2 linked regions of the Bombyx mori genome follow. The protein of the gene in region 2 interacts with the protein of the main gene of each other region in a biochemical or structural test. Links are inferred from orthologs where the notes say so. Each region holds a gene or a part of one and is shown on either strand. Other genes may lie near its edges. The genes, in order: chromatin-remodeling complex ATPase chain Iswi and bromodomain adjacent to zinc finger domain protein 1A.

Evidence for each region.
Region 1: the proteins of bromodomain adjacent to zinc finger domain protein 1A (region 2) and chromatin-remodeling complex ATPase chain Iswi form a complex in vitro, tested with the Drosophila melanogaster proteins (3 studies listed by BioGRID). The link is inferred for Bombyx mori from reciprocal best matches to the Drosophila melanogaster genes Acf and Iswi.

Annotation. Positions count from the first base shown.
Region 1 is NC_085119.1:7,651,233-7,668,200, reverse strand, and holds the start of chromatin-remodeling complex ATPase chain Iswi, read right to left. Parts: upstream 9,042-16,968; 5' UTR 8,846-9,041; intron 8,742-8,845; 5' UTR 8,610-8,741; coding exon 8,559-8,609; intron 8,450-8,558; coding exon 8,226-8,449; intron 8,045-8,225; coding exon 7,787-8,044; intron 6,095-7,786; coding exon 5,971-6,094; intron 5,470-5,970; coding exon 5,182-5,469; intron 5,060-5,181; coding exon 4,846-5,059; intron 4,188-4,845; coding exon 3,916-4,187; intron 3,746-3,915; coding exon 3,518-3,745; intron 3,404-3,517; coding exon 3,158-3,403; intron 3,058-3,157; coding exon 2,952-3,057; intron 2,828-2,951; coding exon 2,682-2,827; intron 2,087-2,681; coding exon 1,980-2,086; intron 1,874-1,979; coding exon 1,740-1,873; intron 1,615-1,739; coding exon 1,499-1,614; intron 769-1,498; coding exon 548-768; intron 192-547; coding exon 51-191; intron 1-50. Other genes in the region: FAST kinase domain-containing protein 5, mitochondrial, read left to right, coding at 11,035-12,646, 13,390-13,835.
Region 2 is NC_085131.1:1,101,590-1,118,055, forward strand, and holds part of bromodomain adjacent to zinc finger domain protein 1A, read left to right. Parts: intron 1-874; coding exon 875-1,051; intron 1,052-1,735; coding exon 1,736-1,902; intron 1,903-2,527; coding exon 2,528-2,710; intron 2,711-3,216; coding exon 3,217-3,387; intron 3,388-3,887; coding exon 3,888-4,020; intron 4,021-4,592; coding exon 4,593-4,793; intron 4,794-5,273; coding exon 5,274-5,530; intron 5,531-6,252; coding exon 6,253-6,368; intron 6,369-11,384; coding exon 11,385-11,581; intron 11,582-12,162; coding exon 12,163-12,249; intron 12,250-14,598; coding exon 14,599-14,725; intron 14,726-15,271; coding exon 15,272-15,348; intron 15,349-15,682; coding exon 15,683-15,786; intron 15,787-16,346; coding exon 16,347-16,466.

The sequences.
Region 1 (16,968 bases), on a different chromosome or scaffold from region 2:
CAGACACTCCAATTTTATTAATATGTATAGATTAGATATGCCATACTAACCGACGTTGTAATTCGACGGCTGTTCTTGACTTTAGAAACCAATCGAAACGAAACTGTGGCGCGGAATGTACCGCAGCCCGAAGTTCCTCGTATACGTTTTCTTTATCGAATCCTAACTTGTGCAGCATGCACACCAAGAACCTGTAAAATAAATTTCGTTGTTTTTAAGCTATTGCATAGCATTTATCGCGGGCTTTGAGCACGGCGCACGAATCAAGAAATTCCGTAACGAAAATAAAACCTAACACCCCCCTCCGCCTACCATGTAGTTTAACACATTCACACGTTGCGCTTGTGTAGTGTTTGTGAATAAGCGCGCGGCGTGACGTCGCACTGCATGCGCATCATCAAAAGTCTGCCCATCTCTCTCTCGCGCGGTCTAACTTATGACTGTGAAGGGGACAGTTGATGTTTTGCTTTTGTTAATGTTTATAAATATAGAGTGGTCTTGTTTTATTATTGTTTTAGTATTAATTGCTTGAAACTTAAATATTGACCTGTCTTCCTCTTCAACATAATTTTTGCCCTTGTTTGTTCCATAAGAGATTCTAAGTTGGTGGAATGGTGCTCGGTACCGCGCCATTTTAGCGTCCAACGCTTTCTTAATAGAGGCTCGTCGTTGAATTTTAGCCTCGCCCCTTTCGATCTGGCCCATAATTCGATCTATATCTTGAAGTTCGTGGCAACGTTCCCAAAATACAGCTGAGTACTCCATAACCTATAAAGGAAAAGCTTTTAATAGATTTTTATGTTTATTATGATTTCATGTAAGTTTATAATTATGAGTTGTGTTTTGTTGACCTAAATCAAATTATAAGATTTTGATGTTATTTGGTCCAACTCTAACCAAAAGAGATGCCCAGTATACTCGTATCACTCGATGCGAATATGCCAAAAGTACCATTTTCTTTAAATACGTACTTATATTCGCTAACGACTTTTTACTTAACCAATAGATTAAAAAATTTTAAACAATAGTTTATCATTTATTAAATATTAATGAACACACGATAATGTTACACACACAATTAAAATGTATAGTTTGCGCTTGCACGCAGCAAAATGGAATTTTATATTAAAACATAAAAGCCATAAGACGATGCAGAAAGCTAACAACTACCTAAGTTAATTTTAGGTAAATATAGATACATTCTCTTTTATATGTATACATTACCCTTGATATGTCAAATCAATCAATGCAATGAAAATTTTTAATGTTTTTATAACAAAGGCATCTTTCATTTTATTAAATTAGTATGTCATACAATATCCTTATTTCATATATTTTGTCACCCTATCTGTAGTTTGAATATTTGCTGAACAAAAACTAACCAGTTCAGCTTGTCTGTGTGTCTTTTAAAAAGTACACAGTTTTCATATTTTATTTCATGTGTACAACAAAGATTAAACAAATAATGTAAGTAAATGCGATTAATATTCCACCATACCTCTTCTGGTGTTTTTCCTTCAACATCTTTTGCAATATTCTCGATATCGTCTCGTCCGTATTTTTCATTTGCTTTTATGAACTGGTTAAAATCACGTTTTGTCCAATTAGTGAAACCTACAAAGTACACGTTTCATTACATTTCAGTACATAATATATGCAAAACATAATTATATAATAAGTATAATTTCAAATTTTCTGCTATTCAATAATTTTAATGGTTGTAACTTTTATGGTTTTACCTTGAGTTAGTAATTGTTCTTTTTCTTGGACTTCTTCTTCAGAAAGCGCTTCTGCCTCATCTATTTTTCTCTGTTCCTCTCTCTGAATTTTCGCTGCATCTGGACCCAATTCTGGATTACGTGGAACTTTATATCTGTGGTTATGAAATAAATAATAAACAAATTGCAAGTATGTATTTGTAAGTTTTGAATACTTTTATACATGTATTTAAAAAAAAAAACATAAACAAATTATCTCACCCTAAGGTTTTGCGATAATGATATATTTCTTGATCAAGCAACTCAAAAAGTCGTGGTGGGAAAAACTGGAAATCCTGTACGATGGGCTGCTTCGGAGGACGCGGAGCCTGTTTAAAAACGTATGTTCATTATGAAATGAAAAAATAAATAACTATGTAACTAGCGTGCATATAAAGCTAATTATATATTTATTCTGATTAGTTGCGTGATATATTATTATGCATATGTATGAATAGATATAAATAAATACATAGTAAATAATACGCGCTCTGAATGAATGTTGACAAATTTGCAACTTTAACTTATTGCTTATAATTTAGATCAATAATATAATAATGTAATAATTTTTATTTATTTATGAAAACTACTTTTTTAAAGTAATTTTTTTTATATGGACTTTTACTTAAATGTCTATCCATTAGGAATATTTTGATTCTTTGTTTTTGGTTTATCTACATTCCTATTCTTCGGATTCTTGTCCAATGCAATTCACAAAATTAAAATAGAAGAGTCTTTTACAAAACAGACGAGATATTCATAATCTACTATGTAAGCTAAATATTTATATAAGGCATACATAAATACCAGTATAAAGAGCTAATCAAAATACTGTTACATAAATGATTAAATGAATACCAATACCAACAATCGCCAATAGGAGGACTCCTGAGGAATCCGATTTAGCTCTTTACACTTATTTACCTGTACCTTTGGCGCCTTCGGTTCAGATACACGTAGAGCCTCTCTGAAGTAGGCGTCCACGGCATAATTAGCTTTACGTTCGCGCTTAGGCGGCTCTATCCAACTACCCATTGGGATAACTTTTTGCTTCTCTCTGTAATCCTCGCCTAAACGGGCATAATAATATTATTAACACTGTGAGTATAAAATAATAGATTTTTGAATACTTTACCAAATTATCAGTTCAAAACTGAAGTGAAATTCACTTTATCAAATAGTTTTGAGGACAACCTTCAAATTGATAAACTGAGTCGGTGGTCGCGCCAGGAGTGTCCATTGAAAATGCTCGCAAGGACGACTCGCCCAGGCTCTCCAATTTCTGCTTCAACTCCTCAGTCTATAATAGTATATTAAAAAAAAAACTAGTTTAACACATGTTGTCAAGCAAGTGGTTGTATTACAAAGCTTTTTTTTCCTACTATATTATATTACAATACCTTGCTCTCTCCTTTAGCTAAAATCGTATCGATGTCCTCATCAGTAACCTCAGAATCCTTAGACGCAAAGACGTGGTTGGCACCATGTCTGATCATGTTGAGCATCTCATCTTTGTTCAGCTGGTTCTTAGTGTCGACCAGTCTACCGGACTGAATTACAAGTTTGTCCAGGCGCAATTTCACTTCCGCACGTTCTACAATCTTTTCTTCAACCGTGTTGTCTGTTATCAAACGGAACACTCTGACCTATGAAACATTTAGATTAATAAATTATTTTACAAATTTCACTAATAGTTAATCTTACCGGTGTGCAAAAGTTGTAAAATTATATCTGCCAAAACATATTTAAGTTAAACCCACCTGCTTTTTCTGACCAATACGGTGAGCTCTATCCATGGCCTGCAGATCCATTTGAGGATTCCAATCAGAGTCATAAATAATAACAACATCAGCTGATGTTAAGTTAATACCAAGACCACCAGCTCGTGTAGATAACATAAAAACAAATTTCTCACTCCCCTCCATATTATACTCTTCTATTTGTCGATTTCTATCTTCATGTGGTGTTTGACCATCTAGACGGCAATACTATAAAAAAAATTACAATATTGCATAGCTTTAAGTTATATGCTATGCATTTATTTTTATGAAGAGTTAATTTACAGCATTGTCTGTGGATGCAGTATTTACATTTAAAGGCAGCTAAATAAAGATTAAAAGCTAGCAAAAAAAATTTTTCAAATCATGCTTAATATTACCTTATATTGCCTCCAAAGGCAATAATCTTCTAAGATGTCCAGCATCCTAGTCATTTGTGAGAAAATAAGTACTCTCGACTCTTGCTCCTGAAGCTTAGGTAAAAGCTTATCCAGTATAGTAAGTTTACCACAGTTATATACTAAATGTTCATCAGTTGTGTACGGTGGACCCGGCTCAGCGCCATCAAATAAATAAGGATGGTTACAACATTTGCGTAGCTGCATAAGAATGTTCTGGAGTCGCATTTTTTCAACCTTTCCAGCACCATTTACTATAGGTAATAAAATTATTACAAATTGGTAATTAATTTATTAATAAGCAAATAAACTTAAGACAACAGGTGTAGATGTATCTTGCCCTTACTCAACATCACCCAAGTATCTCGGACACCGAATGCAAAATCTTAGCCATGAAACGTCACAGTTCATATCAAAGACATGTCGAAACAAAAGATCTAAAGCTGGAGAGTTATCTATTATTCTTATACGTATTATTTATTAATTAGCTGTAAAGAGAAAAGAAACCAATGGAACAAAAGAACCTCAGACCAGTTGTGTAAGGTTAAAGTCACTGTAATGCTTTCCAAGCTCCTTTAGAAGATAGCACTTGTAGAAAAAATTAGTTATATTTACTTTATTCTCAGTTAATCTATGATTATAGTAAATTATAGTAAATTTCCAAAGTAAGTTAAATATGACTAATTTAAGTAATAAACTTTTCATTTCATATCTTGGACAATATAGTGCAAAGGCATATAGCAGATGCTTTCCTAGTTACCTCAAGACTATGGATATATTAACTACCTATTGTTTTATTGTGACTTCTTAACCGTTTGACAGGTGAAACCCATTTCTAGAAAACATATTACCTATGTTTAGGGAAACATTTAAGGCATTGTTATTCGGCATAATGAACATATTCTGACTTACCTACATCAATATCCTTCATAAGAACCTTAGTATACCACTCTCTTTGCATTTTACTCAAACCCACATAAACTTTTAATTCCTTTTTAGGCTTTAATTTTTTCTCAACCTCAGATTTGAGTCTCCGAAGCAAAAATGGTCTTAGTACAGCATGTAAACGTGAAACCAATTGGTTATCACCTAGGGCTGCATTTGTATTAAACCATGAGTCAAAGTCCTAGAATATCAGAAAAAAAAACATTGAATGTTAAAAAGGTTAATGAAAATAATATTTAATTAAAATAGTATTCATTAATTTTGCATTTTTTCCATTGTGCATTTCCTTGTATTATTACTCACATCAGAACTATTAAAAACATCAGGCAGAAGGAAATTCAATAGTGCCCACAACTCATGGAGATTATTTTGCAAGGGAGTACCAGTTAACAGCAACCTGTTCATACTCTTAAATTCCCTAAGCAGCTCCGATAATTTAGATTTTTCATTCTTGATACGGTGAGCCTCATCAATCACCATATAACGCCAGTTAAACTTTTTAAAGACAGATTTCTCTCTTATAATCATTTCATATGATGTAATGCAAACATCCCAGTTTCCAGGCATCAAGGTTTCTCGGATAAATGTATTCTGAAACATATTTATTTATTAATCCATTTTCCTACCATACTTTTAATTTGTATCTAGTCTAAAGTGATGTCTATTTTATATTTGTTTTAAGAAAACTAGTCTAGGTTAAGCTTTGCACACAAGTTTTTTGCATAATATATATATATATATTTTTAGCATACATATTTTTTTTGTAGAACAAGTACCAAAAAAAACATATAATAGTGCAATACAATATAATCAGAAAAATGAAGTCTAAAAATAATAATGTACAATGTTTTTTTTCAATTCTATACAAGGTTTTATATTGCTCTATAATGGCTGTTAACGGTTTCTCTTCTTTCTGTGTAATGTGGAATATTAATGATATACAGACTTTTCAAAAGGACTATTTATGTACTTAGTCAAATTTTGCTATTCTAATCACTTTATTTGCCTTTGGTAATATTCTACTAATATCTTGTATTATGATATATTAAAATTTTGCTATAAATATTAAATGGCAATGAACATTATACATACCCTTGTTTCTTGATCACCAATAAGACACACAGCTTTTAGTGAAGGGCACCACTTTTTAAATTCGTTCATCCAATTTGTCAAAGTGGATTTTGGTACAATTACTATGTGAGGACCAGGAACGTTTCTGAAATTTTTTTTAATACTTATTTAGACATTCACGACATATCTTTTCCAGTGTCTTTATTTAAAGTATAAACAAACAACACTGTTACAACACACCCACTGTTAAAACCAAATTTCCTAATAAAAATTGTCATCTTACCTGCCAGTACAGGTAAGATGACATTACTTGACATGAGTAAGCTGTACATATCTCTTATCCTTTAGAACATGATGATGGTGTTGCCTTTGTCATGAAATCCACTCCAGAATGTGGGTTAGGGACTTACTTTACTTTATTTACTTTAAGAAGCATTGATAACTGCCTGCAGTATTTTAACAATTTCACCATGCAGATCATTGCAAATACACTGGGTACATTTTCTTATTGGCCACAGGCACTTCAAAGCTTGGTGAAAATCATATACTTTACACTGACAATAAATTTATAATTTAAAAATCTACTTTCAATCTTTTATGGCTTTAGTGCCCAACTAAAAATCTTACTCAGAATCATAGGTAGCTTTATACATATGATTCTGAGTAGATGTACACTGGGGATCCCAAAATATTGGGATACTAATATTGTTTTCTTCTGATAGGACCTCTTGTGAGTCCGCATGGGTAGGTACCACCACCCTGCATATTTTTGCCGTGAAGCAGTAATGCGTTTCTGCTTGAAGGGTAGGGTAGCCGTTGTAACTACTCTGAGACCTTAGAACTTATATCTCAAGGTGGGCGGCGCATTTACGTTGTAGATGTCTATGGCCTCCAGTAACCACTTAACACCAGGTGGGCTGTGAGCTTGTCCACTCGTCTAAGCAATAAATAAAAAAATAAAAATACTTTGACACTTAACATGTTTTCAGTTCATGAGAAAATTATCTAAACAAAAAATTGATTAATCAGCAAAACAGTAATCCCAACTGGTGCAACAGTTCTTCCAATGGGCTCAAGATACATGTCATGGAACTGCCCATGCAACTAAAGCTTCACTGTGGCAGACACTAAGACTCATCATTAATCATGGTCTGCATTGCATAGCATACCCTACCAAGTGATTTTGATAGTCTCTAGACTGTTGGTACAGATACTTTATACAAAAAAGTTTAGGATTTCAATAATTAAAAAAAAACACGTCCAGACTTTTTTACTACTTAACCTGTCCTAAGACTAGTTATTACTATCACAAAGCCATAATCACACCTTTAACTTACATAATACAACCTAGGCAATAAATGATAACATAACTTACTATTGTACTGTTTGAATACAAAGCAGAAGTAAAGTTGTTACACTTGATTGCTATCAAACTTTTTATTTTTTTGTGTATTGGGTACACAGGCACTTAAATTGGAAATCCCATAAATATATTGAACTGTTTGCATATATTTTATAACACACTGAACATTACATATGAGTCGTCTATTATCAAAGGCGGCAATCTGTACATTTGGACAAAAAAAATTTATTGATATGTCAATACAGATTTATTTGAATATAATCGTCTCCTTCAAAGAATACGGTTCAAAACCTGCATTAAATAATGGTTAATAGTTAACCTGTTATTTATCTAAGATGTCGTTCCGAAGAGTTTTGTGACTGCCAATGGAATACAAAGTCAATAATTCGTTTTTCTGATTTACCAATCATTGTCCAAAAGTCAGATTGCCGCCTTTGATAATAGTCGACTCATATGTAACAATTTTGAACTTACTTAAAATGTTTCATATATCCAAGTAGAGAAATTGTTTGCAAAGTTTTTCCTAGACCCATTTCATCAGCCAAAATTCCATTAATACCATTTTCATACAATGATATCATCCAGTTAAGCCCTCTAACTTGATAATCCCGCATTTCTCCATTTTTTATGTAATGTGGAGATGCTTCAAATCTAAATATTGTCTTTTGTTTTGAATTTGTTTCTGCCAGAAGTTCTTCATCTTCTTCTTGCTCAGTTTTTCTATGTCTGTGACTGACACATGAAAAAAAAAGTTTTGAAATCTTATTAATCTATCTTTCAACAGCATTCAGTGGACATAATACTATTTATATTTTTTCACCATACTTGTATAATTTGTCAAGTAGATTTTACATTATTGATACACAGATGTTATAGTTTGTCACAAGTAATACTTTGTAATATTGATACTCACTCTCCAGGACCTTCAGGTTCAGTATCTATTTTTATCTTTCTGGGTCTGCCAGCCTTTGGTTTTGGAGGACTCCCACCAGATTTTGGAGTGTTGGTCATAAAATGAGAAAATATCTCCGTTTGCTTTAGTAGAAAATCGAATCTCTTGGAACGATCAGTTTCAATCTTACTCTCGAAATCACCTTCTTTCCCTCTTGAAGATGTCGTGTCACTTGAAGAGCCATTCTGAATTCATAAAATTGGGTGTGGTAATATTAGTCTGGATTCATTAAATGTTTTAGTTTAAGTAAAATTCAGTTAGTTAGTTTATTAATAAAAAAATTAAACTACTCACGGAATTGTCGCCAATATCGGCAACGTCCATGGCATCATCCGACTGGGCCATTTTTATTTACAGTTAAAACAATATTGAACTAGATGACCAAGATTGCGAAGTTAGAAAATATATTCAAATAAACCAGAAACCAGCAATTGTACACTGGTTGAACAACTTAGTTATAAATTGACTGCATGAAGGCTGAAAACATACGAACATTACAAACTAGATACTTCGAAGATTAAAGTATGTATGAAAACCAAAGAAGAACACTTTCAACTTGTTGGAACTCAATAAATTCTTACATTTTGTAGTACAATGTATACCTATTGACTGAATTGTTTAAATATTGTTCACAATTGAAGATTAATGTAATTACATTACACTACAACCGGGCGCGAAAATCGCAAACTGACAAAAGCAAAAAATTATCACAGAGTGTCACAAACACTATAGCTAATTATTTAGGCAAAGGACACCTTTAAAAGTGTTTGACAGCCTGAATTTTAGTCTTTTAAGCCAAATCTTGATGTGTTCTAAAGGCCAAATCTTTTTTCTAATGGACAAAAAGTATAAATAGACCGGAATGCGATGATGATGAGTTATTGGAAGATGATTATGAACGTAATTAAATGCAACGGAATCGAATAATATGAGGGGAAAATATTTTTTGTTTAAATGTGACAAAAAAAAAACACGTGTAGCACTCGGGGACTGCCACGATAAAGCTATTTGCACAGCATTTTTTATCAACTTATCCAATTATAATTAGACAATAATAATTTAATATTAAAACAATAATAAAATAAGACCACGCTATATTTATAAACATTAACAAAAGCAAAACATTAGGTAACTGTCCCCTTCACACTCATATAAGGGCTACATAGACCGCGCGAGAGAGAGATGGGCAGACTTTTCATGATGCGCATGCAGTGCGACGTCGCGCCGCGCGTTTATTCACAAACACTACACAAGCGCAACGTGTGAATGTTTGAGCTACATCGTAGACTGAGTGAGGGTTGTTAGATTTTATTTTCCTTACGGAATTTCTTAATTCAGTCGCCGCGCTCAAAGTCCACGATAAAAGCTATGCAATAGCTTAATACAAACCAAACAAAAAAATCTAAACACGTTAAATGCAGTCTTAAGTTTGTGAACTTACACGTTAAATGGCTAATAAGCCACAATTAATACACACTTAAATCCAAAGAATATGTAAGTATGTAAATTAAAATTCTAAATAAATTCACACCTCGCGTTCCCGCTTTTTACATTTCCGATCCTGCGGACCAAATGGTAAACAGTCAACGTCGCCCAAAATATGTCATTTCAGATCCTCCCGATCCCCTAACGGCACTTTTAGGTACCCCAAGCACCAGTCATCGTTCTCGTCGATCGGTCGCTTGTGACGAAAGGCTCGGCAAGCGGTTCGTGTTAGCAACAGCTTCAGGTTTAAGCCCCGCGAGCTCACTTAATAGTTCAGTGAATCTAGAATAACCCCTCGAGGTTACTAGAACAGGCAGAAAAAAGGTAATACCAAAGCGTGAGACGTCTTCGCTCTAAGGGGGAAGGGTGCCTTGGTGTAGGAGTGATCCGAGCGCGGAGGCTCTAATCTCAGCGGTCCATGCTGGAGGCACAATCTCGTCGTTTGATGAACCGTCCGCATCGTCGAAGCGGTGCGCCCGGTTCTCACGGACTGTGTGGGCCGCGACCGCGGACGTCTCACCTTTCGGCTGACGCAGATGCTTACCAGCCACTGATGTTCCACGCGCCCCCTAGGCGCGGGGACCTCGTAGAAGGCTAGGCCACAGGCCAGAAAAAAAAAGCGTGAGACGAGAGAGCCTGTGAGTGTGAAGTGTGCACTGAAGTATATAGGTCTATGGAAGTGTGTGTGAAGTAGGTACCTACTGTGAAGTGCGAATATGACATTTGACATGACTTTTTGGCGGGAACGCGAGGAGTGAAGTTGTGTGATTTGTTTTATTTTGTCTATTTAGTGTTTCTTCAGGTTTAAATGTGTAATAACGGTGGTTTATTAACTGTTTAATATCTGTGAAAGTGCACAAATGTGGGAAAATGAAACAAAGCTGCTGGACGTAACTTCTCGGGTTCGTCCAAAAAGTCCACTGAAAAAATCTCAGTAAATGACCACCATTTTACTGCGATTATATTTCATCCCATATCATCTCATTTCATTAAATTTCATGCCAGTTGATTAATGTTTCAAATTAATCATCTTCATTTCATTTCACTCCATATTATCATTTTTCATAAAATTAAGAATATAAAGTAAAATAAGACATGACTTAAAGGTCTCAGTTACCAGGTCATAAAATCTCTTAAAAAAAAAAAACATTTGACATAACCAATAAACCAGATTTTAACGTAGGAATAAAATAAAACACTGAAGTAAATAATAATGGGGAGATAACATGCACAAATACTAGATTAAAGGGTTCACTTGATTTTGTGAATTAAAGAATATTTAAATATGAGTACTTTTATAAATATTGGGCGAAAACTGTTAATAACATCAATTTTTCGACTGCAGTGTGTTTCACAATTTAAGCTTAAACCAGGTTATACGCGATCTATTCATAGTAGTACTGGGCTATTCATTAAAATGTATATGGAAAAAGAGAATGAATATGCATACAGTGTGTTAGAAAATAAAGGTTATGCAATAAATATTTATACAAAACATTCTAGCGAAGCTATATCTCAAGAAGAGTTTCAGCGATTAAATAAAGAAGATTGGACTAAGAAAACAACCCAAGAAATTTTTGAAATATTCCCTATATTCGGAAAATATTGTTCACAACATAGCTTATGCATATCAAGTGAAATATTTGATAATTTCATAGACAATCTAACTGATACCATACAAATGGCTACTGACTCACAATTAAAAACTCTTTTTTATTCCTTAAACATGTGGCCAGAAACAGCATCGATTAGAACAAGAAACTATATTGAGGTATGGGCTGCACTTGATGATGAATGCCTAAAACGATTAAAAAATTGGTCACACGATGAAATGTTATCTTTTATATCATTGTTTTTTATGTTGAATGTTACAAGAGTAAGTGATTTTTCTTGGAAAAGTATAAATAAATTAGCAACTAAAGCAAATCAACTAACACCAGGACAACTAGTTCAAACATTATTTTTTGTGGGAGTCCTACGTAAACAACCCCATGACATGCATAATTTAGAAATTCATTTTTCTAAAAACTTTGCATGTTTTTCAGTTGAAGACATTGGCATAATGAGCATGGGTTTTTTTAAGAGTAAATGTCCTATAAGAAGTATGGAGCTTGCTTCAAAAATAATCAATAAAGTTATTGAAGATTCTGAACATGTTCATGAAGTTGCACTAGCTGCTATTTTAAAAATCATTAGATATTCAGTGAAGCAAAATAAAAATAATGAAATATTTTCACTGCTAGATGTTTTACAACATCAAGTCACAAGGCTTTCTGTAATGTGCAATGTACATTTAGCACTAGTTGGAACATCATCACTTACAGTACACAATGATTGTCTTACCAAAATAGCCCATTATATAATGGATCATATGCATGAAACAAGACTAAAAGACCTTGAAAGATTAATTTTTACATATGGCACATTTAATTTAATACCAGCTACGAAAGATAATTTTTTTTCTAAAGTAATTGAAGAACTGAAAAAACCTGAAAGATTTCCTGAGATTTCACAACATGGAAAGTCATACAGTTGCTGTATATCATTTTTTGGATTGGTAGGGATATATCCTGTAGATTTAATAAGTAAAGCTTTAAGCCCAGAGTTTTTAGAAAATACATATGGCAAACACATGTTTAGTTATGGTAAAGAATTATTAAGCCTACATAACAGTGCAGAGATATTTTGCAGGGAGTCTGCAATGAATCGGCTTAGTGAAAAAGCTGTGCTCCTCCTGTCAAAAAAATATACAGATTATGTACCATCTGAAAATTACAAAAAACAGTACAATATTAGTGAAAAAATGATGCTAGATATTATGAAAGTTTTGGGAGATTGTCGAGGCGGCCAAAATTATGTCATAGCTGAACATATTTTAACCCACCATCAAAGAGGAGGTCAGTTGTATGAAATATGCATCTGGTTTACATATCTAAAATCATTCTTGATTAATTCCTTTGTACTGACAGGAATAAGCTTGCGAAACTTAAATTTGTGACTAAACCCCCACCACATCAATCTTATGATTGTAATGATTGAAAAAAATATATATTTTGGGATGTTTTCAAGTACATCATATATTTTACTAAATTCTTTTACTTGACCAATGATTGTTATTGCGCAGCTTCCACAATAAAACAATTGCACTGTGTAATAAAATAAAGCAATGGGTCCCCACCACTATCCAGCACACTTTTCACACAAAGTAACCTCAAGCAGATGAGAAGTGCAAAACATCTGTTATACAAAGATCTCATGTTTCACTATTTGTGGTGATCTTCAATAAGGATTTAGGTGAATTGCTCAACCTCAAGTGTACTGTCCTCTGGTGCCACCTTTAAAGGCATAAAAAAAAACAGTTGTATAGACCAATGTTTGACTGAACTTTTGCCAATCAGGTTAGATAGGTATAAACAGACTTATCTAGTGCTAAGTTATTTAATACGAAATTTAATTAAAATAAATTAAAATCACACTAGCTAGAGTAGCTTTTTTTTAGCCTAATGTATATTAAAGTGATTTTCACATCAATGCAAACAGAAATGGTAATAAATTAAAAAGTAAATTTGAATTTGAATTTATTGTCAATGGTCAAATGTGACTATTATGGTATAATAATGTTCACAATGTTTATTTATAGATATAATCATTTGCAATGATCACAATGGAAAGCCTATGCCAGTCAAAGAAGCATTTAAAAATGATACATTTGGGTATATTCGGAAGCCTCCTGATGACAATGATTGGATTGTACTTATAATAGGTGGAAAAAATTCTCTAATTCAGAACTGTAATGTACCTACAGGACAGTTTCAGACAAAAATTCGAGAACTTGCAGCTTTAGGCTACACTCCAATATTGGTAAACTTTTTAAAAATAATTTTATTGTACCATATTAGAAATATGATAGGAGCACGACACGATGATGCCATTCTGAGACACCGCAAACTGCGAGCGTATGCCATCACATATCCACCGTGTCCTTGTTGCAGCCAAAATGGTGGCACTCCGTCGTCGGCTTCTTTTCGGTATTGCGACCGACGATGTACCGACCGATATAGTTGTATTCAGCCAACATCTGTGTAAGCCGGAAGGTCATATGCCTTCTGCAATATATTCCCATAACCGTATACCGCAACATATGACTTTTTCCATTATGCTGTGGATGAATGCTTAGCGGCAGAAATAGGGATGACTGTGGTACTCAGTCGAATTTACAGCATGCATTATCGGTATTAAATAGTATTTAGATTTATTGAATTAGCATCATAATAATCATAAATCTTTACTAGATTTTTTGACAGTAATTATTTTCAAGATAATTAAAGCAGGTCTAACTAAACCCTATACATGTTTCAGGTGCCATGGAAAACATATTCACAACTAGATAATTTTGAAGAGAAAGAAAGTTATCTTTGTAGCTTAATCGAAAACAGATCAAGGAAAAATCATAGTTGTACTGATACTGTATTTAATAGTCTTCATAGTCATAATTCTTAGAAAGTGCCAGATTTATAAGTTTAGTTCTCTTTAGGTCTCAAAAGAAAAATATGAATGAACTGAAAATATTTTTCATGGCAGAATTTCTTGATATTGAGGTAGCTTGGTGAGTTTCCAGTGGACTGAATTCCGTACCAACGAGTCTATATAAAGAGGCAGTAAATGGGTCATCATCACTGAATGCACGAGGAGGGAGACTATCAGAGCAGACTGGCGGCGTGTTGTGAAGTTTGCTACCAATACATGAACTGATGATCACAACCACTCTGTCAAGAGCGATACCGACGAAGAAGAAGAAGGCTGAGTTCGTCCGTTTAAAACAGCTTATGTACAAAGCTGTAATAATATTAATAAAAATGAAATTTAAAACATGTTCGTTAAATTCAAAATAAAGGATACTTTAACTAAAAAACAAAACCTTGTGTGATTATTTGGAGTTAACTGAAATACAAACACTCGTTTTAAAAACTTGTCTCTTTTGTCCAGGTTAATACGGTTCCACCGTTTCTATCGACTCATTCGTAGGTACAGAAGAATGAGTTATTTTTATTCGCCAAATATTGTATGTAATAAATAAACGCAAAAAACATGGAACTCGTATGGAACCGCGGACGTTAATAGTAATTAACTAATTTGAAAAAACGGCGTAACACGATAACCGCTATCGTGTCCACCGCTAATTAGATATCCGAGTACGAAACATGTCCTTGTCGGATCTCTCGGATAGGCACTCAGTGCTTTTAGGGTCTCCAAGCACTGGTCACTGCCCCTCGTCGAACTCGTCGATTATGACGAAGATATACCTAGATATACCTAGAGACACAACCCACTGAGTTTCTCGTCGATTCTTCTCAGTGGGTCGCGATTCCGATTCGGTAGTAGATTCAGCGAAGCACTCCTCTTACTAGGGCCAGTGTTAGTAATTGTCTCAGTTTGAGCAGCGCGTAGTTGGAATAGCCTCTAGGCCAACGAATAGTTAGAGGACAAAGTAACTAATAAAATTATTTAAAAATTTTGCACATAATTTGTTTACAATTTAGCGAAATTGAAAACTTAGATTCAAACTAATACACCATCGGCAGGAAATCTCTGCCACCCATATGAAGTGTTAACGAAATAAATTAAAAATACCTTTTATCTATTGTCTTATTTTTGCATCAAAATTTTGTATACCTACTACATAAATGAAACTAATATCTATAAAGTCTAACGTCTGTAACGACGCCTAAAGATATAACTCTAATTTATGAAACAACTGAACAATAAGGTTCAAGTTGCCCGCGAGAAAGCAAAGACTATAGAAGAGGAAACTGAGTACCTAGTTTACTTACTTTATCAAAATTATAATTTACGTAATTACTGTTGGTAGAACGTCTTAAGAGTCCGCACGGGTAGGCACCGCCACCACCCTGTCCATTTCTGCCGTGAAGCAGTAATGCGTTTCAGCTTGAAGGAGGGGGCAGCCGTTGTACAGAACGAGACCTTAGAGCTCATATCTCAAAGTAGGTAGCGGCATTTATGTTGTAGATGTCTATGGGCTCCGGTAACTTCAGATCGGGTTGGCCGTAAGCTCGTCCAACCACCTAAGCAATAAAAATAAATAAAAACTACAAGATCCCACAAGCGAACCCTAACCAGTTACCATTTGTATTAAATAACACATGCAATTTTGTACGCAATACCTTAAGACTTCAGACAGATCCAATGAGGAATGAGGAGATTTAAAAAAAAAACCAAAATAACCGACATGGCCCGAAGGATTGCGAGGTTAAATTGGTTATATGCAGAGCACATTGTTCGACGAACTGATTGTCGTGGGAGCCAAAAAGTTTTAGAGTGGACCTGGTAAAAGTCGCACAAATCCAAGGTCTATGTCTGTCAATGGACGTCTGCGTACACTAAGTTAGACAAGAGTACAAGTGCAAATGAATGGCAGAATGGTATCAATACCTCAAAGATATAAAAACAGTTCATCTTACAATACATTTTCAATTTGGATTTTTCAATGAAACCCGCATTTTTGAACTGGCGACAAACAAACGTTACACTCGCTTCAAGCATTATGTAGGATAAAAAATTAGAAATTAATATTGTTTGCCTTAGTATTTTTTTTTTATAATTAAGATTTTTATTATTAATTAACAGCTCGACGTATTCGTTTGTAAGGTTTTAGACCAGGATGATTTTATAGGTAATATTATAAAATTGATGAGGACTGTCGCTCGCTAAATATTTTAGTGTATAATATAATCAAAGCGAAGCTAATCTTTGATAGCTAATTTACTAAACTAATAAATAAAAAAATCACCCTTCAAGTTGATTTATATGCTTTATTTTATTGACTTAGGTTTCGATGAAACAAATGTATTAGATATGTAGGTCTATTAAAAATAACAAAAATATTATGGAATAAGTATACACTAGTTATGTATCAATAATTATTAGACAATTTATTTTACGCAGATAAAATTACTCATGAACACGATCACAAAATTATATTAAAAAAATTATTTCAACCTAAGAATAATTTAAGACAGTTTGACTATGTTATTTTTTTACTTTCCATAAATTATACAATTATCTAACTTTGGTTTATAAAATTTTTGAAAACTCCTTTAGAATCGCGAATAGCTCCTTTTCTGTATTTTTCCATTTTTTCCCAATTTTCTAAGTCTACCGACTCGCGTCGTTCTGAAAAATGAGACAAAATTAAAATCAA
Region 2 (16,466 bases):
AAAACTTTTAAGTATTTATAAACACTTGTCCAAAAATTGTAGTTCAAGGTCAAAGCGCGTGAAATTAAATTCAACGATGCAAATAGGCTATACTGCATTCAAGTTAGGGTCGAAAGTTGAAACTTCTTTCCTTAATTGTATCCTGCTGATACGCTAAGAATAATCTACAGACATATGGACTTAAATATAAGGTTTACAATTGTATGGATAATGCCTGTTTCTGTTTCATTCATCACATGATATCCCTATCGTGCGCTCACTCACTCTGGCCGATTCGATACGAACCAAACGAATATTGCTGATATTCACGAATCGGTACGATATGCCGATGCGCATCACGTCGAGCAATATCGTATATCGGCTGATATCGAAATATAGATTTCGATTCACGAATCGGTCCGATATGGCGATGCGCATCACATCGAGCAATATCGTGTATCGGCTGATATCGAAATATAGATTTCGATTCACGAATCGGTACGATATGCCGATGCGCATCACATCGAGCAATATCGTGTATCGGCTGATATCGAAATATAGATTTCGATTCACGAATCGGTACGATATGCCGATGCGCATCACATCGAGCAATATCGTGTATCGGCTGATATCGATATATAGATTTCGTGCGGGGCGATATCGGATTCAACGATATTGCTGCGATATATAGATATTGAATCTATATACGATTTATATCACCCACTCCTACTATCTCATTCTCTCGCTGGCTGAATCCTATACATGTCTCTATGGACATATTTTTTCGTTTCATCGAGTTTGAAATCACAACGATTCTAAAGAAGTTTTACTTCAAAAACTCCACTTGGACGTGCTGAAAAGAAAATTGATTTGAGAACATAACTATTTTCCGCAGGCATGGATCGCGCTTACCGTCGCTACTGGCTCAACCAGGCCGTGGCCGGGCTGTTCGTGGAGGCGGGCACGGAGCCGCGCGGGCCGTGCCGCGACAAGCCGCTGCCTTCCGCTCCTGAGCACGGAGAGGACACCCTCACCTATGTCACTAGATTGTTTGAAACCGAAAAGGAAAGAGGTATGAAATCCACGCAGTGAGTGTCATTACTGTTTCATAGAAAGCTATGTATCATACACAGCCACGGGAATTCCTAGTCATAAGTAAGGAATAAAACTTTTAATATTTATTATGTTGGGCATATACATAAATGAGTCGTCTATTATCAAAGCCGGCAATCTGACTTTTGAACAATATTGGTAAATCAGAAAAACTAATTATTGACTTTGTATTCCATTGGCTGTCACAAAACTCTTCGGAACGACATCTTAGATAAATAACAGGTTAACTATTAACCTTTATTTAATGCAGGTTTTGAACCGTATTCTTTGAAGGAGACGATTATATTCAAATCAATCTGTATTGACATATCAATAACATTTTTTTGTCCAAATGCACAGATTGCCACCTTTGATAATAGACGACTCAAATGTCTAAAAATAATGATGTAGACACTTTTACATAACTAAAATTAAAATACTACAACCGTGACTAATAATTGGAAATTTAATATCAGAGACCTCAACTTAAGCTTAGCTTAATTTGTATCGATATTTTTTTTAATGCATTTAATATTAAACTAAATTCGTTGCAACCTGTTTGCATTATGAATAACGTTATTTAAACAATTAAATGTTTTCTATTTCTGACATGAGTTTAAGTGATTGTTGATGTCTCTTACACTCGTAAAAATATTCTTTTCAGCGAGTAGTGATAAAGAAAATGATTCGGCAGCAAATTCACGGGGGAATTCCCCAAAGAAACCGCTCACGAACATCAATGGCTTAACACACAGGAACGGGTTCGATGATATCACACAACAGCTATTGATCTGCAGCGGAGATCTTTCTACGTGCAAAGTGCATGGAAAGGTGAGTCTTACAACACTTACACTAGAAACGATAACACAAATTTCGCAGAAGTTATTTGTAAATTCAGTTTTACAAATTTATAATATAGTCTACATAATAGTTAATATGAGTCGACTATTATCAAAGCCGGCAATCTGACTTTTGGACAATGATTGGTAAATCAGAAAAACGAATTATTGACTTTGTATTCCATTGGCAGTCACAAAACTCTTCGGAACGACATCTTAGATAAATAACAGGTTAACTATTAACCTTTATTTAATGCAGGTTTTGAACCGTATTCTTTGAAGGAGACGATTATATTCAAATCAATCTGTATTGACATATCAATAATTTTTTTTTGTCCAAATTCACAGATTGCCAACTTTGATAATAGACGACTCATATACCGTTTTACATAAAGGGGAACATATGGAAAATCATAAAAAGTATTAGAAATGGCTACAAAAACTAGATTCCTATGTGATCTGAAAAAGGAATAGGGTTCTATAATAGACATTTGTTTCAGTAGACTTAAATTTAAAATTACAATCCATTACTTAATAAACAAGATTTGAACTTATCATTACAAGTAACCGATATGAACAAATCTCTAAATAGTATATATAACACAATTAATTATCAGGTCGACCGGCCCCAATGGTGGGTCTACCACACAGAGGAACAGATAGAAGCATTGATCCAGTCTCTAAACAAGCGCGGTATTAGGGAAAGTGAACTCCGACAGAGCCTGGAGCTGGACAAGGACAACATCATTCAGTACCTGAGGAAATGTCCTGTCAAGTACCTCAATGGATCTGCTGCTAGTGTGAGTTGTTATACTTACTATCGATATATGAACGAGCCAGGTGTAACTCAACTAAAGAACACTACAGGGCTTTATATGCTATGGGAACCTTTGAATCAATTTTTACCGTTGGTAGGACCTCTTGGGAGTCCGCTCGGGTAGGTACCACCGCCCCGCCTATTTCTGCCGTCAAGCAGTAATGCGTTTCGGTTTGAAGGGTGGGGCAGCCGTTGTAACTATACTGAGACCTTAGAATTTATATCTCAAGGTGGGTGGCGCATTTACGTTGTAGATGTCTATGGGCTCCAGTAACCACTTAACACCAGGTGGGCTGTGAGCTCGTCCACTCATCTAAGCAATAAAAAAAAAGATGATGACTAGTTACACGATAAAGATAGTAGATCCTGTGAATTCTTATCAACACTAAGATTTACTGAATGAAAAGAAAAAAGAACAAAGACAAGAGCAGAAGGACTGGTAGGTACTATGGAATTACATTTAGAATATAACAATGTGCGTTCCCGCAGTCTCCCCCTCCCCCCGCGCCGCACTACACGCGCCGCCGCCCCCCGCCCCCCTCGCTCACCGTGCCGCGCGACTCCTCGCTGGCCGAGGCCGTGGAGCTGGTACTGCGCGACTATATCCTCGATCTGGAGGAGAAGATTCACTACGGATGCCTTGGAGCCCTTAAAGTTAAGGTGGGTGTTGTCTTTAATATTTACCTGGCCAGTCCTGATTACGGTTCCCAATTCCAAGGAATTAGGAAGGGAAACTAATGTGAAGAAAGGTATTTCATATTGTTGACTCTTACTGCATATTAAATGAACTTGAATATGGTCGAATTTTGACCACTTCTCCTCTTTGCTTATTAGTGTTTTTTTTTATTGCTTAGATAGGTGGACGAGCTCACAGCCCACCTGGTGTTAAGCGGTTACTGGAGCCCATAGACATCTACAATGTAAATGCACCACCCACCCTGAGATACAAGTTCTAAGGTCTTAAGCATAGTCACAACGGCTGCCCCACCCTTCAAACCGAAACGCATTACTGCTTCACGACAGAAATAGGCAGGGTGGTGGTACCTACCCGCACGGACTCACAAGATGTCCTACCATCAGTAATAAATAAGATTATTTTATGATCCTTGAACCCTAATTGTATTAATCGGTGTTAACTAATCACTTGCTAATACAAACAGGACCGCGAGGCGTGGCGCGGGACGATAATGCTGCGCGGGTACGACAAACAAGCCGACTACCTGACCTGGGGCCCCAACCAAATGTACAGAGATGACTATCACCAGCCCAACGGCGTTCTGAATATTCCTCAAGGTATTTACTTGTATAATATTTGGGTCATTAAGGTAAAAAAATTAATCCCACACAAGGTTGCATTGCTAAATACATTCGATATTAAGCCAATATTTTAAAAAGAAAATCATTTACGTGATATCACTTCACTGCCAGCAAGTCTGGTCAGTCAAAGAATGTCCGTCATTCTGGAATAGTCTTATTATATTCTTAACTAGCGACCCGCCCTCGCTGCGCTTCGGAAACATTAAATTTTATTATTGAATAGTTGAGTCCCGCGATGTTACCCGCGGTTATTGTCGTATCGTGAGTGACGCCGCGGGGCGAAGCTAGTCTAAAAAAGTAGCGTTACTCCTTATATCATCAGCTACCTGTCAGTAAAAGTCCCGTCAAAATCGGTCCAGCTGTTCCAGAGATTAGCCGGAACAAACAGACAGACAGACAAAAATTGTAAAAAATGTTATTTTGGTTTATGTACGGTGGTATATATATTCATATGCATGTTGTAAAAAGCGGTTATTTCAATATTACAAACAGACACTCCAATTTTATTTATAATAGATAATAAACATTTTAATTTCGTATTTCAATAGATCTTGACGAAACAGAGCTAGAGTCGATACCGGTGAACAAATACCGCGACCCCGGCTACTACCTGGAGGCCGCCAGGGTGAACGGAGTCAAGGTAGAGGGCGACGAGCTGAAGGCGAGGCGTGACGTCATCCGAGGGCTCGCCTGCGCCCTGCTGCAGGTCTCCCAGGCCATACACGCCAAATACTTGAAACGGCCTCTGGGTTAGTGCGGGCTATCATTATGTGTTGTGGACTGATGAAAACAGTTGGAACAATTCTAATAGATAAGATCAACACCGATTTGCACTATTACTGATTTTTTACTGGTGGTAGGACCTCTTCAAAGTCCGCACGGTTAGATACCACCATTCAGCCTATTTCTGCCGTGAAGCAGTAATGCGTTTGGGTTTGAAGGGTGGGGCAGCCATTGTAACTATATTTGAGACCTTAGCTTAACTTAACTTATATCTCAAGGTGGGTGGCGCATTTCAGTTATATATGTTTATGGGCTCTAGTAACCACTTCACACCAGGTGGGCTGTGAGCTCGTCCACCCATCTAAGTAATAAAATATATAGATATATACTCATTTGATATATACATTGCCTTCGTTTTCGATTGGGAAGTGATCTTAGAAGTAATTAAGGTGATTCCTTCGTCTCGTGTCTGCGCCGCGTCTGTATCGTTCCGGTTGGTTGTGCAGGGTGGGACGAGAAGGGGCGGGCGCGCAGCACGGAGGGTGGCGCGCTGGCCCGCTGGCAGGTGTCGCTGCTGGAGTGCGGCAGCGCGGCGGGCGCGCGGCTGCACGCGGCGGCGCTGCACGCGTCCGTGTGCTGGCGCGCGTCCGTGCTGCGCGCCGCCTGCCGCCTGTGCCGCCGCCGCGCCGACCCGCACGCCATGCTGCTGTGCGACGCCTGCAACGCCGGCCACCACCTCTACTGCCTCACGCCGCCGCTGCAGGTACAAGCAGTTGAGAAGTGGCAAGGGACACCCGGATGGAACGAAACTCCTTTCGATTAATTAGTGAAGGAGTTGTAATAAAAAAATATATTTTTTTAGTTATAATAATGTTTTGTATGTACAAAAAACCTGTATACACTGAACAAAAATAATCGTCTCGACACCACACTGTTGGACCACACAATGTAAAAGACGAAGCGAAAAATAAAATAACTAGCTTGCTTTCTATGAGAGAGAGAGACAGACGGAGAAACATGCGCACGCCGCACAGCTTACAACTATAGCAAAAAGTGTCTTTACAACTTTTGGGCTTAATTTTTTTCCGTATAGCCCCCTTTCGCAACGCGCGATAAGGAACTTCGTTCCAATAAAAAAGAACATTTCGAAACAATTCGAAAATCCACATGTAACATTATGAAATAGTGATAATAATCTCATAGAGGCAATTTCCAAAGTGATTTATTAAATCAGCATATCCATTTCTTTCATGCAAACAAAAGCCTGGCGAACTTAAGGTAAAATCGCACGTCTGCACGAGCGGATACTAAATATCTAATAATTACACTATTCATTTATTAATGATGAGTTAACAATCTCGTATGTCCACAATTTTAAATACGTCTTCTGAATATTTTAACTTGTAACTTTGTCAACATTAAAATCCACCATTATATAAAAATAAGTACCATTTACATAATTTTCAACATGATTTAAAAATGCAGAAAGTACCGGAAGGCGATTGGTTCTGCGATCAGTGCAAGCCGAAAGAACATAAACGGTCACCCAGGAAGAAGAGGAAACTGTACTCCGAGGAAGATGTCGAAGAACCACCGAACAGGCAAGTCCTTTCATTGAATATTTTGAAATAGTTGGTTACTGCAACACATAGATCATAACATTACGGTCCCAGCTTCAAATCAGAATGCACCACTGCCGTGTAAGCTTGCAATACACCTTACCAACAGTAAAAGTCGGTTGATGATCGCAGTGCGTTTGTATAACGCGTCGCCGATTCTCTGGCTCTCTCCCTTTGAACTAAGGACTACCAGGACACGCAAAGCAAAACACGGGCATGCTATTCTAGGATGACACCACACCGCCAAAGTTCGTTTATGTCCATGTAAACGGTCACATCTTTTTATCTCTCTACTTTGTGTTTATCTTCTGCGCTCTCATAACACAGGTGAAAATTATTTAAAATGGAACAGTTTATTTTTGTTTTATTTTTTTATTGCTCAGATGTGTGGACGAGCTCACAGTCCACCTGGTTTTAAGTGGTTGCTGGAGCCCATAGACATCTACAAGGTAAATGCGCCACCCACCTTGAGATATAAGTTCTAAGGTCTCAAGTATAGTTATGACGGTTGCCCCGCCCTTCAAACCGAAACGCATTTCTAATGAAACTAGCACGTTGAGATTCAAATGAGAACTGGTTTTTATTCATTCAAAAAAATATACACAGATAAAACACACAAATACCAATATAGGTTAGTTTCACATTAGTGACAACAGATGTCAGTACTTAACAGTATTTAATGTTGATTATTTAGATATAAATTTCAACACTCCCACTATATCTAATAATCATAACCATAAGCATTTATAAAAAAATATTAGGTAACATTTTACACAATCACCAATCCTAACAACTCCATAAAGGCATAATGTTTCTTAGCACACAAACTTTTAGTAAACAAGTCAGCGGGCATGTCAGCAGTCGACAAATAGTATAATTTTATTATATTATTTGAAACACACTCTCTGGCAAAATGATATTTCACATCTATGTGCTTAGATTGTTTGTGAAATACTGGATTCATCGACAACTTCTGTGCACTCTGATTGTCATTAAACAAACTTAAAGTATACATTTTATTTGTGATTTCAAACTGCAAAGTTCTTAAATATATGGCTTCTTTACATGCTTCTGAAATACTCATGTATTCAGCTTCACAGCTTGAAAGAGCTACTGTTTTTTGTTTCTTACATTCCCAGGATATTACTCCATTGGATAACAAAAAACAATAACCAGTATATGACCGTCTATCATATGTATTGTTTGCCCAATCAGCATCAGCAAAACCTTTAATTTCTTTATTTCCATTCTTACAATATTTAATACCAAATGATTTAGTCCTTTTTAAATATTTTAAAATCCTCTTAGCATAATGCCAATGCTCATCAGTATGATTAATATTAAACTGGCTTAAATAGCTTACAGAGTAAGTTATATCTGGTCTGGTTAAGACCGACAGGTACATTAGGCTACCTATAAGCTGCTGATAGGGCACTTGTTTAGTTACATTTTGACCAGTGTTTACATTTAACTTAGTCTCCATTGGAGTTTCAACAGTCTTACAGTCTGCCATTTGAAATTTTTCTAATAAACTCTCAATATAACTTTCTTGATTTAAAGTAACAGACCCTTCCTTTTTATCAAATTTAACATTCATCCCAAGACACTGTTTTACTTGCCCTAAATCCTTAATTTTAAATTTATTTGACAATATTTCCTTCAGTCTATTAGTTTCCTTTTTATTATTGGAAAAAATAAAAAAATCATCGACATAAAGGGCCACTATAGTTACCATATTTTCAATTTTCTTTGTATACATACAATGTTCTAATTTAGATTTCTTATAACCATTTTCAATTAAACAACTATCTACCTTTTTGTTCCAGGCTCTGGACGCCTGTTTTAAGCCATAGATGGCTTTATTAAGTTTTAACACTTTCTTATAGTTATCTGGGGTATTAAAACATTCAGGTTTTTGCATGTATATAGTCTCCTCTAAGTTACCATTTAAAAAAGCAGTTTTTACGTCTAAATGTGTAACATCTAGATCTAATTGGACTGATAGTGAAAACAAAAGTCGTAATGTTGTATGTCTAACAACAGGCGAGAAGGTTTCCTTATAATCTACTCCTTGTTTCTGGGAAAAACCTTTAGCTACAAGTCTGGCACGGAACCTAACCTTACTTTCACTATCATATTTCTTACACAAAACCCATCTACATTTAACTATAGTACTGTCTTTAGGTGCATCAGTAAGTTCCCAAGCATCATTATCTTCAAAACACTGTAATTCGTCCCTTATTGCCTCTAACCACTGTTCCCTATCTGGTCCTTTTAGAGCCTCATCAAGTGAAAGTTCACAAACATTTTGAATAACACTATTTTCTAAACACATATTAGAATAACCATACCTGTCCGGCTTCTTTCTTTGCCTAGAGGAATAACTTCTTTTAAGACTCACAACACTTTCCACACTGTCATCAGAAGAATCATCTGGTACATAAGTCTCATCATTATCATCATGAAAAATTTCACTTCCTGATTCATACGATGTGTCTCCCACTGAATCCTCACTGGATTGTGATTGTTCAGTTTCCTCAATCTGGACTACACTTTCTGTTTGTTTGGCATTTTCTATAATGATCACATCACGGCTTGTTGTGATATCCTTAGTGCTTGGATTGTAGACTCTATAACCTTTTACATCCTCTGGGAAACCAACTAGAATCCCTTTTACAGCCTTTTTATTCCATTTGAGGCGCTTCTCTTTTGGAATGTGCATCATCACTATACTTCCAAATACCCTTAAGTGGCTAATATCTGGCTTTACTCCATTCCACATCTCAAAAGGTGTTTCATTCAAATTTTCCACCACTATCCTATTTTGTAAGTATACAGCAGTATTGGCTGCTTCAGCCCAAAAGCTTTCGTCCATTTTAGCATCAAAGAGCAGACACCTTGCCTTTTCCACCACAGTACGATTAAATCTCTCTGCCAAGCCGTTCTGTTCTGGTGTGTATGGATTGCTTTTCTTATGAACTATTCCTGCTTTACTTAAATAATTATCAAACTCTTTATTCACAAATTCTTTCCCATTGTCGCTTCTAAGAATCTTAATTTTTCTGTTTAATTTATTCTCCACCTCAGCTTTGTATCTTTGAAAACATTCAAAAGCTTCACTTTTGTTTTTCAAAAAATAAATATAGATGTAGCGACTATAGTCATCAATGAATAAAATAAAATATCTGGAACCACCAAGCGACACATTCTTGAATGGCCCACATACATCCGTATGTATTATCTGCAGGAGATCATCACTTCTATTTCCATTATGTGGAAAGGGTAAACGATTTTGTTTCCCTTCGCAACACACTATACATGATGACTTTGATATTTCTACCTTTCTATCAAGTGTAAGACCTTCCACAGCTTTCTGCATTTTACTTAAATAGTTACTGTTGACATGACCAAGCCGACGATGCCAAATTTCACTCGAGGTCACCATTGCAGCCAGCCTTTCAGGTATTCTCAACTTATAAACTCCATTTAATAAGCAAGCTGTAGCAACTAGCTCATTACACTTATTAAATATTTGACAGCCATCATCTTTAAACAGGACCTTGTTGCCTTTTGCAATCAATTGACTTACGGAGATGAGATTCGTGGTCAAACTAGGTACACATAATACTCCTTCAACAACCACATCATACTCACAGTTATCTGTCAATGTTGTTAATCTCACATCACCAGAGCACTTGACAGACACTTTTTCTTTATTCGCAACAACAATTTCTTGGACTGTATGATTGTTCGACACATTTGTAATCCAATGTTCATTCGCTGTCAAATGGCCACTAGCACCTGAATCAATGTACCAATCATTCTTCGAAAAACAACCATTTAGGAACACGGCACTGAACGCATTTGTTTGTTTACGTTCACTGAATTTGTTATTTGATGAATCTTTTACATCATTAGGACATTGATTACGATAGTGTCCCGTTTGTTTACATTTGTAACATTTGATTACTTTTTGTTTTGACATTGATGTTGACGTCCGAGTTCTTCCGGTATTGGCGCCATACTTTTTTCGATAACTCGCAAATGCTCCGCTAACGTCGCCACTGTCTTCCTCCAAGTCCATCAATTTTGTTTTAATGGCGTCGGCCGTTATATTAATGCCCGAATGTTCAATCGCCATTATCATTGGCGAATATTTTTCAGATAATCCAGCTAAAAGCAATGATCCTACCCACTCATCATTAAAATGAAAGCCCGATCCACTCAATTTTTGGCTCGTTTCTATGATTTGAGTAACATAAGACGTCATAGATGTACAATTTTCAAGACGAATTGATATCAAAGTTCTCAACAAGCTGATCCTTCTAGTAAATCCTGAATCATCGAATAAATGCTTTAATTTTTCCCATAGTTTCTTCGTATTTTCGACATCCTTGATATGTACATATAGCGACGAGTCAATCGTTAGAATCAATTTTGCCTTGGTTTTCGCATCGGCTGCGGCTTCATCTGGATTCGTGACTTTAATACAGTCCGAAGTACCTTCCAGTATCAGAAAATTCTCCGCGGCGAAAGCCCACTCCTGGTAGTTCTCGCGACCTTTTAATTTTGGCACGCTTACAACGTAATTCGAACTCATTTTCACCGGCACAGTGTATTCTCAGTCCACACAAACTTATACAGCATTAACTTGCAAGTTCTTGACGGAAAAAACACGTAATTCTGGGTCCATAACCTCTAATGAAACTAGCACGTTGAGATTCAAATGAGAACTGGTTTTTATTCATTCAAAAAAATATACACAGATAAAACACACAAATACCAATATAGGTTAGTTTCACATTAGTGACAACAGATGTCAGTACTTAACAGTATTTAATGTTGATTATTTAGATATAAATTTCAACAGCATTATTGCTTCACGGCAGAAATAGGCAGGGCGGTGGTACCTACCCGTGCGGACTCACAAGAGGTCCTACCACCAGAATTTTAAAATAGTGTAAAGTTGCAAGTGATTGATTGGCAATGTTATGACAGCGAAGCGGAAGCGGAGGAGTGCGAGGATGAAGAGGGCGGCATCGACGCGGGCGTGTGCGCGGCGTGCGGCAGCGGCGGGCGCCTGCGGGCCACGTGCCGCGCCTGCGCCGCCGCCTTCCACGCAGAGTGCGCCGAGCCGCGCCCCCCGCCCGGCGCCGCGCGCTGGCTCTGCGCCGCCTGCCTCGCGCCCACCAGAGGTCTCTGTCCTAACCTTTATGTGTACATACAGGAATTCGAGGGTAGCTATGTGTCGACAACTAAACTCTCTTTTTTTAGTTCAATTCTTAAAAGAATCTTCATATACATGTAGTTGAATAGATAGAACCAAACGAAATCTGAAATAGGCACTATGAAATATTAAAAATATATATTCTTTTGTCAAGAAATGTTTTCACTATAATTTCCAGACGCCCCAGACTAGACAATACGTAGGTCTTGAGGTACCAACTATTAGGGTTACCAACGTCTATATAAAAAAAATTGACAACACAGATGCATACACATATATACTAAATAACAAAAAATATAGATCTAGGGGCTGTAAAACAGTAGAATTTGGTATCGACGTATGATTATTATGAAAAAAATCTTTTGACAACCCAAATAAAGATTACAATAACGTTTTAACCCTTGTATTCTATAATTTACATTCGAATTCGCTGTAAAAAATGGTTGTTAAAATTATGGTTAGGATAATTGATATTTAAGCCACAGTTAGCGACATGTAGAGTCAGCGAAACAAAAACATAATTGTAAAATGATAATTTCGATGTTGAAGCGATGTCGAGCGTCCGGCGCTGTGCTGCCACCGCGTTGTCCAACATCCACCAGTACACGAGGGCGCTGCACGCGAGCCCCTCCTCCGGTGCGTTACTGTCCCCCCTCCCACCACTCCCCGGCACACTGTCCCCCTCCCAACGCCCCCCGGCACACTCTGTCCCCCCTCCCAACGCCCCCCGGCATACATCATTTTAGTCATTATGGGAGTGCTCTGTGTACTGCGCACTAGTAAACGTGCTTCTAGGATAGAATGGCTAGTGATATGGGACCATTTAATTACTAAGCAATGGCGGGAGGACCACAATTTTCGTTTCGTTTCTGTCCGTGATCTGATAATGATAATACAATGTGATTGTACGGGAATCATTGCGATTCCTTCATCGTCTTTAAGTGTAAACACAATTATCAATATTTACACTTGAATTCAAACGCCGCAGGCCTTCTATCTGTCTGCTACCGTATGACGTCACAATAATCAAACTGATAGTTTTCTGTCATACAGCCAAGCGGTTAATTAATTTTATGAAAAATGCACGTTCCGTTGAAGCTATATAGCTAGTACGCAGATTTGTACATGGATGCACCCGGAATGTTGACGCTCTATCCTGATGCACTAAGATGATGTAGCACGGGATCACGCGAGGTCCCCCCCCCCGTGGCATGTCTCCCGTTCACCGTCATTGGTGCATTGTTCTTTCATTCATAAATCCTGTTCTTATTCTATTGCTTTTCTTTGGTTTACAACGTTCTTCGCAAAATGTTTACTTTATGCTTGGCAACCCTGTCGCGTAGGCCTTCATTGCGACATGTATCTTTACAATAAATCTCCCGTTGAACTATAGGAACTGTATGCTCGTCGCTGATAGTAGTGGCAATGCAAGAAGCCGACTGCCATCTTGAAATACACAGTAAAAGATCCTTATTCGCGCTTCCTTCGGTAGCGTTTTCACTATGCGCGGATTAAAAAAATGCGACCAAATTCCTATATTCGCGACTAAAGATTTCCTTATTCGCGGATCTAATTGATACATAGGTACGTATGCGTTGATAGACATGATTCCAATATAATAATATACTGACTACTTATCTTTTGAAAAAGCGTCGTCAAATGGATTAATAAAAAAGTAAAATGGACCTTATTACAACTTTGCCTAAAGTATATTTTTAAATGCGGACACGTGAGACGGAACGTTATGGATAAGAGCCGCTTTGCGTGTTTTATTGTTTGATATTTCCATTCGTTACAAAAATTGTGATAGACCATTCCGTATTCACGGTTTCTGTATTAGCGGTATATTTACGGAACATATAGCCCGCGAGTAAAGAGCTTTTACTGTAAAGAAAAGTCACATATCTTCGACATGACCCATATGTTCTTTCGTAAGCTCGCCTTGTGCATTCCCTGTTTTGTGACTTGAATGTTACTTTGATTCATGGCGAACAACCGTTAATCAGATTGCTTTTAATTTTAAACTAAACTATTGACATTTTCATTAGTACCCAATGACAACTCATATTTTACTGTTTATGTTTCTATAAAACACATAAAACTTCTTGTTTTAAGGGTGGGCTGTCCCATCTGTCCACATCGTTCATTGAGACCACTATTGAGATATTGACCTCATGTCTCAAAGTCGCATTGTTGTTGCGACTTCTATGCGCTTCTGTGAGCACTGACTACTTCGTAATTACCCATGTAGGTAATAGAAAATCTTCATTTCCGTCCCAAATAAAAATGCTTTATAGTAATAACAATGTCAGTAGCATGACTGCATGTGATAACGATAGATGTAGAAATCAAACTTCGTACACGCAAATGGATTATTAATTCATTTCCTTAATCACGATTTCCGAACTGATTCTTCTGTTTGTAACCATCAAACCATTGCTCATCTAAATAATTAGATTGCTTGTTAGAAATAGGACTTACCTTTCCTCTTTGTCAATTTGTAGAAATTAAGTTTGCTTTTTCCTAATATTGTTCCGTGATCTCATATTATTTACCTGCGCCGCCTAGTGAGTAGATATCTGACGTACAAACTAATATTTGAGAACAATAAATAGAAAGTTTATAAGGAAGATACAATTCTATAAAAAGCAATCAAGACTAGAAAGCTATTTAATTTGTGTTCTGCTTTATAGTGATTACTACTCACATGTAACAAATTACATTATTTTACTACAAAATTGGGACAAAAAAATGTGGAAGAGTAATTTTAAATGTTTTTCAATTTTTGTTTAACAAAGATTGTAGGCAATATCCATAGACTAAATATTGCTTCAAAAACATTATGCTGTGTGCCATCTATGAATTTGTTATATGATAAAAAAGTAAAAAAGATTATCAACAAGCAAGGTTAAAAAATTTAGTAACTTTTATTAAATAAATAAATATTGTACATATATTAAATTTTAATTGCTTTTTCATGTGTAGAGTCAGAAGACAGCGATTACAACACGACTCTGGTTAAACTGAAAAAGAGGAAACAGCGCCACAGCAACGACGCGGTGCCCCTGCAGAACGGGACCACCCCTCCTTCGGGGAAGAAACGCGGCAGGAAGTGAGTATTCATCACGCCCAGACCCTCGGGCGCTCGGTTTAAAGGTCGGCAGAGAGCTTTGACAAAACTCCTCATTCAGGGGCCCTTAGATGTTCTTGTTTAGGTACCTATAGTGCACAGACACAAAAGTGCCAAGCCCCCTTGTGTCCGTGAGATTGTCTGTCTGATTGATTGACTTGGATATTTTCTCACTCATGAAAGACATGATAATACTATGGTTGAATAATTTTGTTTTTAATGACAAATGACATTTTTTCTGCTTAAGGACAAGTAAATTAAGTAATTTACTTGTCCTTAAGCAGAAAAAATGTAAATGTAGGGTAAGTACCCTCTTTTTGGTTTTGGACTAGATAGCAGTATATCCCCCATAGTGCTTCTGTGTAAACAAACAATATTAATCTGCTAAATCAATCTTACCACACGTGTCAATTATTACACGTATATTTATTATAGATGAGACTTATTGTGTAAGCGAATTGACATTTCGGCGACTCTCACTGGTCATTGGTATCGGAGCTCTGACGAACTGTATTTGTTCACTTCCAGACCAAAACACGAGAAACTGAACATGAGCAACGGGAAAGATAGGAGATCGAAAAATTCCCTCACAAACGGAGTTCATGGTGAGTGCGGGGGGCGGCGCGGAACGCGGGGTGGTGGAGCCCCCGACACGACTGGACTGTTCTAAGTCGGTGGTTCACAGTTTGCTAAGTTGAATCAGGATACTAGTGTAAACACGTATCATTAATATGCTTCCTTAAAATTTATTTAAAAAACTTTTCTTTAACATCCCACATAAACTTTGAACCTTCTAATTTGGCATAACAAGAGTCGAGTTGTGTAACGTTTATCGGATCAGAACCAGGTTTATGCAACATCATCTTTCTTACTTGAACATGGTGGTGGAGCCGTTCGCGTCTTCATGACCCCTTACGAGAGTCCCCGTTCTGTCCGCAGAGGAGCGTGCGGCGCGCGGGCCTGACGCCGTGCAGCAGCTGCTGCGTGACGTCATCAAGCACAAGGACAGCTGGCCCTTCTACGAGCCCGTCTCCATTGAGGATGTGAGTCAAGCGCCAAGGCACCATAATCTCTTTTCTGGCCGGAGTTTTAACCTTAAGGTTCCCGCGCACGGGGGGCGCGCCACGTGTAGGACTCGGTGACCGAGGAAGCTAACTCCCCTGCGCTCGCCCGGTCTCCGTCGTGCTAGAGGGGACAAATAAAATAAAAAATATATTATTATCTTCTATTTATCGCAAATAATTTAATTTCAAATTGGGGAATGGATAAGTATTTCACAGCGTCATAGTATAGTGACTTCGCTGGATACGCGCGTCTTATCCTTTAGGCCACGGTGAAATTGTATTGTGCGGTTATAGTTACTTAGATTCTTTATTAATTAGATTAGATTTACTTATTATTCTATTACCTATTATTACTTAGATTAGATTTACCTATTATTCTATTACTTATTATTACTTAGATTAGATTATTTCTAAACTGTTTCGAAGTAACCATTTACTTAGCACGTATCATACACAGTTCATGCCCTACTAATATGAAGTACTCAAAGTTTATTTATAAATCATGAAAACGCTCTGTAACTTTGTTAATTTTATTTCAGGTACCTGATTATCTTGACGTAATCGATCAGCCCATGGACCTCACCACGATCAAAGAGAAGCTGGAGAAGTCCCAATACAGCTCGGACGAGGAGCTGATAGCTGATATAGCGCTAATATTC